2 linked regions of the Anolis sagrei genome follow. The protein of the gene in region 2 interacts with the protein of the main gene of each other region in a pairwise test. Links are inferred from orthologs where the notes say so. Each region holds a gene or a part of one and is shown on either strand. Other genes may lie near its edges.

Region 1 (8,071 bases), on a different chromosome or scaffold from region 2:
TGTGTAGGACATGCACAAAAATGCACACATAAAATATAATCAGAGGTGCACACAAGGGAACATTCATTCTTGGTGAGCTGGATCCCCACTATTTTGCCTTGACTTCCAATTGCCCAGAAACAATTCCCCCTGCACTTAAATGGCTTATGTCCACGAGGAAGAGACCAGTGGGCTGGGGAGAAGAATTATGAGTTTTTAAACTACTAGTGGACACATCCTTTGGATGCCCTACCGGCGGTTTTCACTATGTTCAAGGGTATTTCTTCCTTTAGCTCCCTTGGCTGGCAAGTTGAACTGTAGAACATTTTTTGAAAGACAGAGGGAGAAGGAATGGTTCACTTCTCTTCCTACACACATGCCTGCATTTCCCATCTATTCAACTCAGATATATATATATTTTGCTCAATTTTACTTTTAATAATCTACAGTCATTCCTTATCCTTTCTTTCTTTCTCTGTCTCTCTTTCCCAACCCAAACATTTCAGACATCTTCTAGGATTATGTAAGCCCATCTGACCCATAATCCAAGGGTGAGTTTTCTCTGATGGTTTTTCCCCTTATCTCCTTTTAAAATAATCATAGCAGTAATGCATATACTATTAAGATAACCTCTCCTTGCCACAGTCAGTTGTATTTCCCAAATTCCTGAAAAGTCTGAAGGACGAAGGGCAAGGAAGTGAGGGCATGGTAGGTTATGAATATTTGATCATGCGAAGGTGAGAAAAGGAAAAGGTAAGGGGGGAAAAACACCCACCCACCTTAATAATACCCTTAATAATCATCAATAATATTCACAAACAATATTCACTGCCTCCCTTCTGCCCCCAAAACACTGCTGATCTTCTAACTCTGCTTTTCCTTTTCCTTCCAAACAACAACCACACCAGCCTTGTCCAGTTGGAGCTTCAAGGCAAGGACTCCAAGAATCCTAAACAGCAAGGTAATTTCATTTTATTGAGTACTGTGCCAGGGAGGGCTGTAATGCCTTCCCGGTTGTAAACAAGAATGACTTCGACTTACTAGGGTCCAATTCGGTCTTTTCTTCTTTGTGTTTGTTGGAAGCGATGGCCTCAGATTCCGGGGAGGGAATAGTCTGCGGGGTTCTGTCCCTGAGATCTCCCGGGGATCCGTACATATAATCCGGGTAACTACGTGCATCCACGGGTCCGCAATCCCTGCGGCCGTGGAAGGCGTCGGGTTTAAGCCCGTAGTGCCGGCTGCTGGTTGGAAAACCTGGGAAGGAAACCGCGCCAGAGATAGGCTCCAGCCAAGTGCGCATATACCGGGTGTCAGCTCCAATGTGAGGTTGGTGGGTATACGGGTGGTAGACCACGGACGACTGGGAGTGCACGGGCGCCCACGAAGTTGTAAACACGGCCGGTTTGGGGGCAAAGCTGCAGGACGGAAAATCGGCACACTCCGGTACTAGTCCTGACGGTCTGGCTGCCGCAGGGTGAGAGCCAGTCGCCGGGAACCTGGATGCCAACAGTTCGTCGCTTTCGTGACTAATCAAGGAATCTACATAATAGTTGCTTATGGGACCCGAAGCCGACATTGTTCCCCCCTCTTTTACATTCATAAGATTATTGTATGAACTGTATGTGTACTTTTTATCTTCTCATAGAACAATCAGGGCAGGTAATTATTTTTTCAGCCTTTCCCCGCTTGCCATTGGCTCTCAGCGCTCACGTGATTGTATTTACCCAAAATACAGTGTAGATCAATCCGCAGGTCTTTTTTTTCCCCCTCGCTTTCAATTTTTTTCCTCTCTCTCTCTCTCTCTCTTTTTAAATAGCGCCTATGCGACTTAGGTTTTCATCAAAACTCTTGAAATAATGCAGCTATTAGCAGCAGTTGGGTCTTACGTGCCATTCGCTGAGAGGCGACTCTGTTCCTTCGCTGGCTGGAGGGCTCGCTCTGCGACCTGGCTTTTCCATAGCTCTGCTGTTAATGAGAAAGAGAGAGAGAGAGAGAGACAGGGGGGAGAGAGAGAGAGAGGGAGAAAGAGAGGGAGAGAGAGGCTGTGTGCCTGTGTGTGCGAGGGCTAGGTATCTGGTGTAGCAAGGTATCACAGGAACTATTTCTTGACGCAATTTGTCTCTGTCTGGTCTCTCTTGGCTTCTCCAGCTAGTATTCTATAATGGATACATTACATGGAATTTCTTTAAAGGGGCAAAGGAGGAGGGGGTCGGTTGAAGGTCCTGACAGAGTTTGCTCTGCTGGCTCATCTCTTCTTCTTCTGCAGCAGCAGCCCATGAATGGATATATAATCATTTAGGGGTGTCTTTCTCTTTCTCTATGCACGCCTGCTAGCACCCACATATGAATATGTATGTGTGTGTTGCATATATCTATATATATATTCATGTATGTGACTATATATAGTCAGCTACTTCTGGCTGATCAAAGGACCTTTTGTCATTCACCCTGAGATGCATATTTGTCAACCTACTTAGCAGCAAGACATTCTAGGCATCACATGCCTTTCTCTTTATGTATACCTATCTATATGCATGGGTGCTTATTTGTCTTTGAGTGTGTTGATTCTCTTCAGGGAGGATGACCTTGTAAAACATGAATGGAAATATCATCATAACAACCCCCCCCCCCCACTCCAAAACAACAACAACACAGGACTCTCCTCTTGTGTGAGGCAGCTTTATTCTGCAAGTAGTGGTGGATGTTTTTATGTCCTTCAATAAAATTTTTACGAGGATCATTTGATTGTTCATAAATGTGTCGTTCATTAAATAAAACTGTACGAGGAAGTTTCAGTGAGAAGGCATGGCTGGGAGTGAGGGACATTTGCATGTGGAAACAGGGAGGGTGCTTGTTTCGAAGAGCTTGGGTTGTCTTCTTCCATCATCATCTCCATCACCAGCAGAAGAAAAATCAAAAATTAATCTTATTATGCAACCCACTCCCCATTTTACCAAATAGCTGTCAGAACTCCACCTGAAGACTTCTTTCTATGTGTGTTTTACAAATAACAACAATTCTTTGGCAGAATAAGGTAGTAGGTGTCTCTTATTTAGCTTGTACCTTGAGAAATCTGGAAGGATAGAGTTGCTTGTTTCTTCTGGGGGAAAACATCTGTAAAATGAGAGCTCTCTCCTAATAATAATAATAATAATAATCTCATTTGCTATGACATACTGTGTTTTTGCGTCAGAATAATAATAATAATAATAATAATAATAATAATAATATTGACTGGATGGTGCAACACCAAGAACACCACCAAAAGGACAACAACACGAAAAGACTCCCCCACTGCCCCCGACGTTGTCAAAGAGGATTCACAGTTTCCAGTGTATGTAGCAGAATCGGCTTGGAGGTGCGGTAATTTTGCAACAAAAGGAGAGGGAGGTTCAAGAAAAAGTCGAAGCAGAGAACGGTATGGAGGTCTCAGAGAGAAGCAGAGAAAGAGAAGGGATGTGTCCCACAGGGACCTAGGATCCACCAGTGAACTGACACCCCAACACACAGCGCCAGGCTCCCCATAGACTCAGGAACAAGAATGGGTTCCTTTAGACACCTTGCTCGGGGGATCTGAGGAGGAGAAAATGAAGTAAATCCAGGGAAATTCTTTCTCTTTCTTCTTCCGTCATCATCTTGATTATTAGCCCTACTGAGTGTCATTGTGGTTGTTGTTGTTATTATTATTGGGTTGCTGTGATATTGTTGTTGTTATTATTATTATTATTATTATTATTATTCTGACTTTGGAAAAGTTGCTTGATTAAAGCTGATTCAAGATTCCCAGTACATCTTAATTCAGGAGTCCTGGCTCACTGCAGCCCAGCCTTCCCTAACTGGTCTGAAGGAACAGTATTTCATTCCATAAGGAGCGTCCTTTAAATAGAAAGAGATGGGGATGTGCTCCTCTCTTCCCTCTGGGGTGTGCATGTGTGTCCAAGAAATCCAGATTCGATAGCAGTCTTGCTGTGAAATCTGAACTCCCCCTTCTCCTCGCCAGCCTGCTATTCTGCTACCGTTTTTAGCCTCGCACTTTCTTTCAGGGAAATATTCCTATAGGAACTTTTTAAGGTGTCCTTTGGCCTGCCTGGAGTTCAATTTATCTGTCAATCAAAGGTCTCAACTGACTTCTTTTTTCTCCCCTCATCTGAATTCGTAAAGCAGAGTTCCTAACCGAGCGTGATTTCATTCTGTATTTTTTTATTATTTTACCATTTTGTTTTTTTAATGTTTCCTCTGTGCACAAATTCAGGGCAGGGAGTACACACACAATGCGAGGAGGTATATTATATTTATAATATTATTTATATTATATTTATATTATATTTATAATATTATTTATATTATATTTATTATATTTATTATATTTATATTATTTTATATTCTTATATTATATTACTGTGTACACACACACAAAGATATATACACACATACAGTATGTGGGAGGGATTCAACGTTTGCTCGAGTTCCAGGAAGAAATCCAATTTTCTGGGCAAATATATAAATATAAATCTTCCAAGGCTATGCTGTTTACTAAGGCGCAGGGAATGAACGAGGAAATCTCTATCTCCTTCTCACACACAGAGCCAATGCAGACACACACTGATTTTCCCTATCTGTGTAGAAAAGGAAGAAAGAGAAAGAAAAAAGAATAATTTCAGAAAGGCAAGAAAGCCTAACCTAAATATCACACACGCCAAGACGAGTGGATCATGTGAAGGAGAGGGCGTGGAAAAGTAAACCCTGCTGGTAACCTTAATGCAACCAAGCAAGGTCATTCAAATATTGCTGGATGGAGCACCTCCCAAAGAAACCCAACTGCCGAGAGAGGTGCCTTTTCGATCCAAGGGAAGAAAGCCTTGCAGCCTAAGAAGAAGACAAAGAAGATGGCAAACGCCAAGCCAGTTTCCTTTCACGCTGGCAGGTTGTTCACAGCCAACGATCCTACTAAGAGGCTTGTAAGTGCAAAGCCCTCCTCGTTCAAGGGGTCCTGCGACCGGGAGCCAGCCGCCGTCGCAACAGAGAGGAAAAGAGCAGCAGAGATCCGCAGAGATGGAGATGGGAGACCCTTCTGGCTTGGAGACAGAAGGAGCAGAACATTGCTACACTGCCTTCTTCAGCACCGCCTGCTCCTAGGAAACTGCAGGGAAAAATCATCCGGGTCTGTGTCTTCACGCCTCTGATTTTACCAGTTTGAGGAAACTTCCTTGGAAAAATATATTCTGAAATGCTCTTCTTTTGGAGATTTGTTTGTTTATTTATTTTTCCCCAGCGGGACAAAGAGGGGAAATATTGGCATCCATAACCTAATTCTTAATTACCTGGAGGGCAGAAGGGACTACCTTTCTGCTCCTTCCTGCCACTGCAACAGACTGAGATGATTTCTAGGAGCATCTCCCCTCAGTCTCTCATAGAAGCCAATCACCTTCCCAACCACGTGGCCCATCCCAGCGTCTCCTGTTCCCTTCACCTCGAAATAAAATAAATATTAAATATATTTTTATATATTTTATTTAGGAGGCGGGTCGTTCTTGGAGAACAATGTATTTTAAATCTCAGGCATTTTTTCAAGGGAGGGGGGTTCTAATCGTCATCTGTGACGTGAATGACAAGAGAGGGAGGAGTGACCTGGATTGATGATAGTTATTGATCCTCTTCGGTTGTGAGCCTAAAAAGTAGGAGACCCAAACCTACTTCCGCCATTTTAAAAATGCATATATATGCATTATATGCATGTAATACATATATATGTATATATGTGTGAGTGAGTGTGTGTGTGAGAGAGAGACACTGTCCGTATCTGCATTTGTTAGGAGGGTAAGCGATTTATTTTCCAAGTTTCCTTCCAAGAGAAGCTTCCCTTAATCACACAAATATTATATACATATGGGTATATAATATATGTATTATATGTATATAATATTTGTGTGATTAAAGGAAGCTTGTCATGGAAGGAAACTTGGAAAATAAGTCTCCTACACACGCAGACCCATGCAGTGCCTGTCTCTCTCTCACACACACACTCACTCATACACTCACAATTCTCCTTGAGGCTTCCCATCTTTATCTGCACAGAACTGGATCGCTGCAGGTCTCTCTGTCAGAAGACTCCTCCTCTTGCTTCAAAGGACAAGACTCCAAGCCTATCTAACTTTGCTTCACCTTCTCCTCCTCTCTGCATTAGCCACCACCTTATTCCTTCCAAACTCCAAAGCACTGGCTGCCTTGAAGCATCCCTCCTCTCCTCTGCACTCCAGGCCTCCATTACCTCAATTACCGGACACCATCCCTTCCTGGAGACCGGCTCCAGGCCTAGGGAAGCGCCCTAGCCCTCAGCCACCCCCCCCCCCAAACGCCTTGGGGCTACCGGTCAGCTGATGCCTTGGTCCCAAGGAAGCAGCGGAGGAGGCCTCTTGGGTCAATGGCTCCCGTGCGTCTCTGGCGGCCGAACCCAGTTTCGCGGAGGGGCGGTTAGGGTTGTATCTGGGGTCTTTTTCTTTCCCCCTTTCCCTTCTTGCATCCACTAAACTCTGAGCACAGCAACGTACCACCATCCCTGGTACACATCCCTCTCTCCCCCTCCTCCTGTGGCGCCTTCTTTCGCTCTAAGTGTCCCACTCGGTTCAATAAACACCGTCAAGTTCGGATTAAAAAAGGAAGAAAAGAAATCCCACTTTTCTCCCTTCCCTCCCTCCGATTTACTCCCCCCCCCCTCCACCCTCTTTTCCTTGGCCCGGGTTTTCGCAGCCCCTGCGAGGCCTCCCCAGCTGTAAACTCGAGGCGTTGCAGTGTTGACAGCCCTTCATAAGTGAAAGCAAACTAAGCATAAAGTCCGCGCCTTGAAGTTTCCCCATGCGGAGTAAGGCAGAGAACAGCCTCCTCCACACTCCCCACTCCGCCCCCTCCTTCTCCTTCCCTTCCTTTAAGGAGCTCTGCAGCCTGCCTGGGAGGAAGGGCCCTTCCAAAGCTTACTTCCGAGTAGAGGGGCTTAGCAATGCATTTAATGTATCAGTTCGTTTCTTTTAAACCCTTCTTTCTCTCTTGATTTTACCGCCCTCCCAGCCTCTCTTTCTCCCACCTCACCCCTCTCTTTCTCCCTTTAGGGAGGAAACGGTATCAATACAGAGGGCGGGTTGCTGTGCGTTTTCCATGTTGTATGGTCATGTTCCAGAAGCATTCTCTCCTGACGTTTCACCCACATTTATGGCCTCACAACCTCTGAGGATGCCTGCCATAGATGTGGGAGAAATGTCAGGAGAGAATGCTTCTGGAACATCGCCATACAGCCCGGAAAACTCACAGCAAACAGTGATTCCGGCCATGAAAGCTTTCGACAACACAACAAAAAAAGAGTGATAACCCTACCCTCAATCTCCTTGGCACCTTTGATTCTATATCTTCCTAAACCTGATCCCAAAATTATCATGGAAAGCCAAATGCAATATGTACACCACTATACTGCTAGTAGATGTCTGACAATAATAATATATTTTTGGAAAAAATCGAACAGCCTAGTGGTAGCAAAAATACTAGCAGTGTTAGTATATTAGACAGCTATGTAAACAGTAACATGGAAAGGAGAACTTTGCAACTGAGTAGCTGAATTGGACATAGAAATTCACCTCTATTTCTTAAAAATATATGGATCAAGGTGTGGTTTTGTTATTGTTGTTGAGTTGATGAGTTTTGAATTTTATTTTCCGGGACCAGTATTTTAATGGCGGGCAACTGAACACTTAGGTTTGTTTCCAGTGGACGTGATCTTTATGTTTAACTCAAGGGTAAAGGGGAAGAGGGAGGGAGGGAAGCAACCCCAGAAAATGCTCAAATGCTCATCCCAGGGAAATTTACTCGGGAGGCGTTGATACCTGTTTAATGGCTTTCCTGCCTTTCCCTCCCGCCCCCTGGTTTGCTGCGAAGAATTTTGTCAGATGTTATGACTTTGGATTCCAGACTGTTTTTGTGGCTGGGAGCAGTAGAAGACAATAAATTCCGGAGTGCAATTAAACCTCAGGACCCAGTGGATGGGAGCGTGGTTGCCCTGTCCTTCTTGGGAAAAATTCAGGTTAGAAACAAGGGGAGGAAGAAAGGA
Region 2 (7,817 bases):
TTTGTCATGTTTAACTGTCCCTTTTGCCTTTAAAAGATGTGATTATGTTATCATACAGCTTCCACACTCCCAAAAGAAAATGATAAAAATCAGTGATGTTTGAAGGTGTGTCAGAGAATCTGTTACTAAACAGTTTACATTAGTTCCTTATAAATGGTACATTATATTATTTGCTTTTGGAAAGGTATAGTTATGAACTCTGTAAGGCAGAACCTATACCTGCAGATTTGCACTTGGGGTCGGGGGTAGTTCTCTACGAATTTTCTAGGTCTTATAGACAATTCTATGGTATACTTCCCCTCTAAGTTGCAATAGAGTTGTGTTGGAGGAACTAGCAAATTAATAAAGAGGGTATCTCTATGTCCTCCAATGCAACTCTATGCTATGCTGGAACAAAAGTGAGGTAATGTAATGGCATTCTGTTGTTCAGGTTTCATGTAACTGTGTTCTGTCCAGGAATGTATTCCCTGTGGTTACAGGGATCTTACTGTACTTGGTATCTTCCTTATCATATATTCCAGCTTATATGTTAGAATACATCAAGGTGAATATTTTACTTGCATATGGTTCATATGACATTGTTTTTATTGATATTAATTAGTTTCAATAGAAACAAATAAATTCTAAACAAAGTGGACAGCATTCAAGAAAAGGAAGCTAAAAAGAAGGACTATTCATATATACCATATATGCCACCAATTTGTAAAGGAGGCACCCAGTTTGTAAAAGTTTATAAAGGAGTCACCACTTTGTCAGGACTTATTAAATTGATAACACAACTGATAGCTTGTAATATTGATTTGGTCTTTCTTCAATGTGTAGCGTGGCTTAACTTAAAAGTATTTGTAACTTGGCTTTAGAAGAAACTGTAACAATTTATTGAAGTATAGAAGAAGCTTGATGGTTTCAATGTTTCTTAACTCTTAGAGGCACATTTCTTCAGTGGTTACATTGATAACATTTCATAAAACAACTCTTTAAACTACTATTCCTTCCACTAAACAGGTTTCAAACTTATTTTCCTTCAAAATGTGTTTCTTTTTTTAACAGGTTACTTCAGGTACAAGCTTATTCTTTCCTTATGTTATTTCTGTTGCAGTAAAGATTCTTATTAGGGTTTCTCTCACCCTTTTTACTCATACACTAACCACTAATCTATATAAGTCAACTTGACCTATCTAAACCTCACAGGCTAAAAGCCTAAACCCTCCTGATTCTCAACACAGTAGAATCAGCCTTTCCCTGTAGTTCTTAGACTACATACTACCTTTCTGGTTCTAAACACACAACAGATCCAGCCTTCCCTGTAGTTCGCTGACTACAGACTAACTGTCTAAAAATGGCTGGCCTGCCAAGTAGCAGTTGGCTCTGCCCCTTTTTCCATGGCAACTCAGCTCAGAGTGAGCTAAGCTGGCTACCGCCCCCCCCCCCCAATAATGCTAGTTTAAATACGTATCCTTTTAAACACCTATCTATTATTATACATAACTCTAGATTAAAATTCACACTTCACCACATAAACCTAAACAGCTCAACGCTAAACTAAACATATGACACATTACTAAAGCATTAATGCATTATAATAGGCATAACCCACTAAGGAATACATAACAAGACCACAAAACACACAAAAAACCCTCTGCCCCCTCACAAGCTGTAATGAGATGGGGAAAAACAATTAGTAAAGAACATGTTAGTCTATCATTCCAGATTTAACTAAATTCCACTTGCTGACAAAATTAATATATTAACTAATTATAGAATTATGATGACAAGGAAGAGGTGCATGTTTAGTTGTATCCATAGTTGGGGCAGGGGGGGCTGGGGATAGGGTTTTTCTCCCTCTCTTTACTTGTGTTCAAGTCTATCCATATGTAGGACAGGTGGCTACATAGGGAACAGGATCTAGAAGCATGAAAGAGGAAACTGGGCAGAATCAGTCCACCATACTGCATTGTTGTATATATAAGAACAACCCATTGGATTCTTTTCAATAAAGCTCTTGATTCCTGTAGTCTCTCATTGCTCTTTGATAGCAACAGCTGATCTGCAGTAGTCTAGGATGCATCTAGACTGTGGAATTGATTCATCTTTAGCCGCCATGGCTCAACTGTATGAAATCATGGGAGTTGTAGTTTTACAAGGTCTTTAGCCACATCTTCCAAAGAGGTCTAGTGCCCCACAATATTACAAATCCCAGGATTCTATTGTATTGTGTCTTGGTAATTAAAGTGTTGTCAAACTGCATTAATTCTAAGAATACAGAAGTGAATGTGGAAATTCAATGATTTTATCCAGCGTAATCTAGAATTCTGAACCTCTTCTCAATTCAACAGGATGCTTCCCCCCCCCCCCCCCCCCCGCTTTCCAGTTAGAATTTGTTATTTGTAAATAACCCATTTTTGGCACAACTGCTTTCTCTGAATAGTCTTCCTCCATCTCTGATATTACCTTCAATAATATTTGTAAATTATTTTTAAGGAACTGATTAGAACAAGTTACTTTAATTTTCACTTCTAAGGTAATAATTCTTATTTCTCTAATTATGAAAGTTTTTCTGTTCCAATTCAACTTTATTCTTCTTGAACGCAAGCGGCCCAAGTAAGATTGTTGCATTTCCTTTTTTTCTTTTTTATAAACTGTCTGTGAGACAAAAATTTAGCTTTTGTCACAAGGCTGTCAAAGGACTCAAAATCTCTGACAGAGGACATTGCTGCAATAGTTGCTTGATTTCTTCACCTCCGTAATTCTCCTCGTTCCCTCCCATGAAAGACAATTTAAGTAAAATGCAATATCCTTGACTATTCTGCATTGAGATTAAAAATCCCATTCCTTTAGTCTTTGCTCTTTGGCCGTTGAGGAGAAAGAGCTACTTACCTAAGTCGTCCATTTCTTATTTGCACAGAAGTTGTCTGACTAACCAGCTTGAGGGTCCCCTCAAAATGACATGCCTCCCAAGCCGTAGAACCAAGGCGGAAATGAACAAGATGGTGAATGCGTGGAGCAGTGGTTTCTACAGAATTCTTTAGTTCCTCTCTCTACCAGGACTTCCCCTCTTTCAAAGCTGAGCACTTTTCTCCCCCTCCTAATGAGTCACATTTTGAAAAGCTAAAAAATGCATTTAAATGGTTGAACAGGAAGTGGTAGCAATCTGATTGTTTCAGATATGTGCAAATCCAACGTGACAGTTGGGTTATCTTTCTTGTCGATAAAGAACTTATCCTGCTGTATCAAGTAATGGCATTTTATGAACAGAGGTTAAAGCACTCTTTGATTTTCTTTCCTGCTGGGATGATGACTGACTGAGGAGGAGGTTGTTGCTTGATAGATGCTAAAAACTTAAATGTCAGTTTTATACACACATTCACAAAGCTTGGAAGTTACTGTTTTAGTTCTGCAGCCTGAATGCACTTTTCTCTAAAGTTTATAATATCTCTTTATATTTGTGATGGGAATTATCCATTCCTCGAAAGCCTCAGCAAGGTTGGCCCTATCATCACACAATTACAGAAGGTGGAAGGGGGAAGAAGTGTATCCAGTGGCTGCAATGTTTATTTATAGTTGGCTTGGACTAGAAGCTGTCTTGCTCTTGGGGCTTTACCACACAATTTTATCAAATTACAATTACAGCAGGACAGCAGCAGAACTTATCAGGTAAGTTGTCATCTTCTGTTGTTCTCAGGGGTGAAGTGAAAAAGTTAAAAGGTGTTTATTTTATTTTATGCTCAAATGGCAAACTGGACATGTGCTGTGCTATGACTGGTTTTTTACTTTCTACTAAGCACAAAAAACAACAACACATGAAACAAGAATTTCAAAGTACTGGACTTTAGAGTGCCCTTCCTACTTGCCAATACTGTGCTATACTAGGGCAGACTGGGCCCATAACCCAATGTCAAGCCAATGTTAGTGCTTCAACAATTTTGTCTGAGTAGTAGAATGTGGAAGCGTATGAGCACATATCTGATTTGGAGACTGGAACATTGTCAACAGAGTCAGGGAAGGAAACTTAAGGCCCCTTCCACACAGCTGAATAAAATCCCACATCTTCTGCTTTGAACTGGAATATATAGCAATGTGGACTCAGATAACCCAGTTCAAAGCAGATATTGTAGGAATTTCTGCCTTGATATTCTGGGTTACATGGATGTGTAAGGGCCCTAGGAAATAAGGAGGAATCTAATCACAACTCTACATGAAATTGGTAGAAAAATATTATGAAACAATATTATGAAGTGAGTTAGGCTTAGAGGAAGCATAAAAATAGTTAAACTAACAATCACAACATTAATTGTACAGGTGAAAATCCAGATTGTAAAGAACTCAAAAAGGATCTCTCCAAAGGCAAAAGAAATGTCAAGTGATTCAGATTCAACAGGTGTCCGAATGCTGTCTTTCCATCAGAATGAAGTAGAAAAGAGAACCAGAGACTTTTCCATTACATTGACTCTGAGGCCCCATCTACACTGCCAGATAATGCTGTTTGAACTGGATTTTAATGGCCAGTATAGAATTGTATAGATTTCACTGCACTGAGCTAGATTATATGAGCCTACACTGCTATATAATCCAGTTCGATGCAGTCAACCTACATTATGAAACTGGATTATATGCCTCTGATGTCCTTGAACAAACTACAAATCCCATGATTCTATAGGATGTAGCCATGACAGTTCAAGTGGGATCATAGCATTATGTTTGTGTAGTCTGAATGGGACAACACAGTCATTATAATGCAGATTGAACTGGATTACATGGTAATGTAGAGTGTTATAATCCAGTTCAATATGGTTTAACCTGCATTATATGGTTAGTTCAAATTGCATTGTATGGCAGTGTAGATGGGGTGTGAGATTAAGGGCCTTTTCAGACTACACAAACATAATGCTATGATCCCACTTGAACTGTCATGGCTACATCCTATAGAATCATGGGATTTGTAGTTTGTTCAAGGACATCAGAGGCATTCCCTGGTTTGGAATTGTAAATGCCCAACCTTCTACAAATCCTGGGATTCCATAGGATAAAGTCATGGCAGTGAAAGTGAAATCATAGCACTGTGTGATGTGGAAAGGCTCTAAATGTATTCAGTTCATTTCCCTGAACAGCTGAACTGTTTCTATTTCCGCTGATCATTATAAGAACTTTGTAAAGTGAAGAATTAACACTTAGATTTTTTTCAGTTCTTTCCTCCTCCTTCTCCCCCCTTTCTTTTTGTCTTGTTTCTGATGGTAAGCTTGAGGACTAAGTCTTTTGATTGAGCTGTAAGCTGCTTTGGCAACCTTTCCAGCCAAAGATCAGAGTTTAGCTGAAGTGCAGCTTAAAATTATTTAAATAAATACACACATAGCTATTGACAGAAATCTCACTGCATGAATTCAGTGATGTGGTACAAAATTACCAAGGAAAGGAAAGGCTTTGGATGCAATCACACAAGGCTGGTACAGCATGACTGCAGCTGAATAATAATAATGCCTGCGGATGTTCTTTATCATACAACTATTACATTCTTCAAGGGATGGATAGTGTTCTTTCACAGGCCCATTTGGCAGCTTCTCATATGCTATGAAATTCCTGCTAAAGGGAGGATTAGTTTGTCCCTATGCTCTCTTTTTGCCAATAAGCAAAAACCATATTCAAACAGTCCTTTAACCTTTAACTATTTGAAGGAAAAGAGTGTGTATTGGGTGTGCTGCTTCTTAACATGCTGTTTGATTTTAAAGTATGTATTTTAACTGTTTCAAGCTAATGTTTTCATTGGATTGGTTATTTAATGGTTTTAAAACCTTGGCACCAAATTTTATTTTATTTTAAACATGGATTTCAGATTGAGAGAGAACTGGAATAGCAATAGAATACATAAACAAGAGAATAGGTGGCCACATGCCTTGGTTATGGGTTTCCTGAAAGAAACTGGCTAATGGCCATTTCTTGAGTCACTTTTAGTAGCCATGTTATTTGGTTGCAACCAAAATAAGACCTCTTGTTATTAATTTGTTCTTAATGGCTATCAAAGTTGGCTTCAACTTACGGTGACCAGATGAATGAATACGTCCTGTCATGAATGAATACATCCTGGCCATCTGTTGGGGTGCTTTGAATCTGATTTTCCTGCTTCTTGGCAGGGGGTTGAACTGGATGGCCCACGAGGTTCTCTTCCAACTCTATGATTCTATGATCTACAGCCCTGCAAATTCAGGACCATTGCTTCCTTGACTACGGATGTTATTCCACTCAACACACCCCTTCCATTTCTAAACAATTCTTAAACATTAAAGAGAAGTAAAACCGACCCTATCACACAACACAGGGAGACTTTCCCCTATTATTCATGATGCTTAGTTAGGGAACTGTTTTGAAAGTGTAAAGAAACTGGGGGGGGGGGGGTGGACAGTTGACAGGGAGCTCAGGAATTGCTTGAAAACTGGAGAAATCAGTGAAAAACATGTGGGATGGGATCTGTCAAATTCACCTGACTTGAATCAATTTGGTTGCATAGGGGAATGGCGTTCTTAGGGTGGTGTTCTACAAAGCAATGATGCCCCAGTAATCTCCCAAAATCCAGCCATAGTTTTTTTTCTTAAATGTAGTCAGTAGAAATTGCAATGCTTCAGGAGATCGTTCACTTGAGTCTAACCTTTTGAAATTGAACTTTCTCCCGTCTTTTCTTTACTTTTTTAAAAACTAGAGTTAGCAATCCATAAAAAAATTGAGAACAGAATAACTCATAGAGATAAATGGGGTCTGCCTTAACTGTACTCACTCATGTGATAAATCTGAAAAGCAATGAACACCACCATGTGATGGGTACTGATAAACAATACAATTTGCTTTTTAATGCAACAGGATTATCATCATAGGCTATCACTAACGGATGAGTATAATTGCCTCCCAAGTGAAGAGTCTTGGCGGTGGGTCCGCAAATGACTGTAGAGACCTATTCTAGATCCACATGATTTTTAGCCGTGAGAACATCAATTTCCAGATGGAAGACAGGCCCGACAAGGTTTGGCTTGATGTGCCCTCCTCTTGACATGTTTCTCCCTTTCACCCCCCATTTGTGCCTCTTCAAATTCCACAGCACTGCTGGTCACAGCTGACCTCCAGTTAGGATGCTCGAGGGCCAGGGCCTCCCAGGTCTTCCCTGTGTCTATGCCACAGTTTTTAAGGTTAGCTTTAAGTCCGTCTTTAAGCCTCTTTTCCTGTCCACCAACATTTCATTTTCTATTCTTGAGTTGAGAATAGTGTAACCGTTTTGGGAGATGGTGATCGGGTATTCAGACAACGTGGCCAGCCTAGTGAAGTTGATGGTGGAGGATCATAGTTTCAATACTGGTGGTCTTTGCTTCTTCCAGAATGCTGGCGTTTGTCCACCTGTCTTCCAAAATATTTGCAGGATTTTTTGGAGGCAACGCTGATGGCATCGTTCCAAAAGTTGAGTGTGACATCTGTAGATGGTTCGCCTTTCACAGGCATATAAGAGAGTTGGGAGTACAACAGCTTTATAAACAAGCATCTTCCCATTCCTAGGAACGTTCTGATCCTCAAACACTTCTTCATTTTAAAAAATGCTGCATTTGCAGAGCTCAGACGGTGCTGCATTTTGGTGTCAATGTTGACTTTTGTGGAGAGGTGGCTGCCAAGGTAGCAGAAATTGTCAACGTTTTCTAATGTTACACAACTGAGCTGTACTTCTGGCATTGAAGAGTGATTGGCTGGTGACTGCTGGGAGAGCACTTTGGTTTTCTCGATGTTCAGTGAGCGGCCAAGCTTTACAATAAACTGAAGACCTCTATCATTGTAGCCTGTTAAAAAGG

What was found.
Region 1: the proteins of LPXN (region 2) and HOXC9 interact in binary tests that used the Homo sapiens proteins (3 or more experiments, as listed by UniProt). The two-hybrid records come from large-scale screens. The link is inferred for Anolis sagrei from reciprocal best matches to the Homo sapiens genes LPXN and HOXC9.

The regions. Positions count from the first base shown.
Region 1 is NC_090022.1:189,328,073-189,336,143, forward strand, and holds the start of HOXC9 (homeobox protein Hox-C9), read right to left. Parts: upstream 3,143-8,071; 5' UTR 1,580-3,142; coding exon 1,021-1,579; intron 1-1,020. UniProt on the Homo sapiens protein: Sequence-specific transcription factor which is part of a developmental regulatory system that provides cells with specific positional identities on the anterior-posterior axis.
Region 2 is NC_090021.1:234,535,601-234,543,417, forward strand, and holds the start of LPXN (leupaxin), read right to left. Parts: upstream 3,232-7,817; 5' UTR 2,891-3,231; coding exon 2,878-2,890; intron 1-2,877. UniProt on the Homo sapiens protein: Transcriptional coactivator for androgen receptor (AR) and serum response factor (SRF). Contributes to the regulation of cell adhesion, spreading and cell migration and acts as a negative regulator in integrin-mediated cell adhesion events.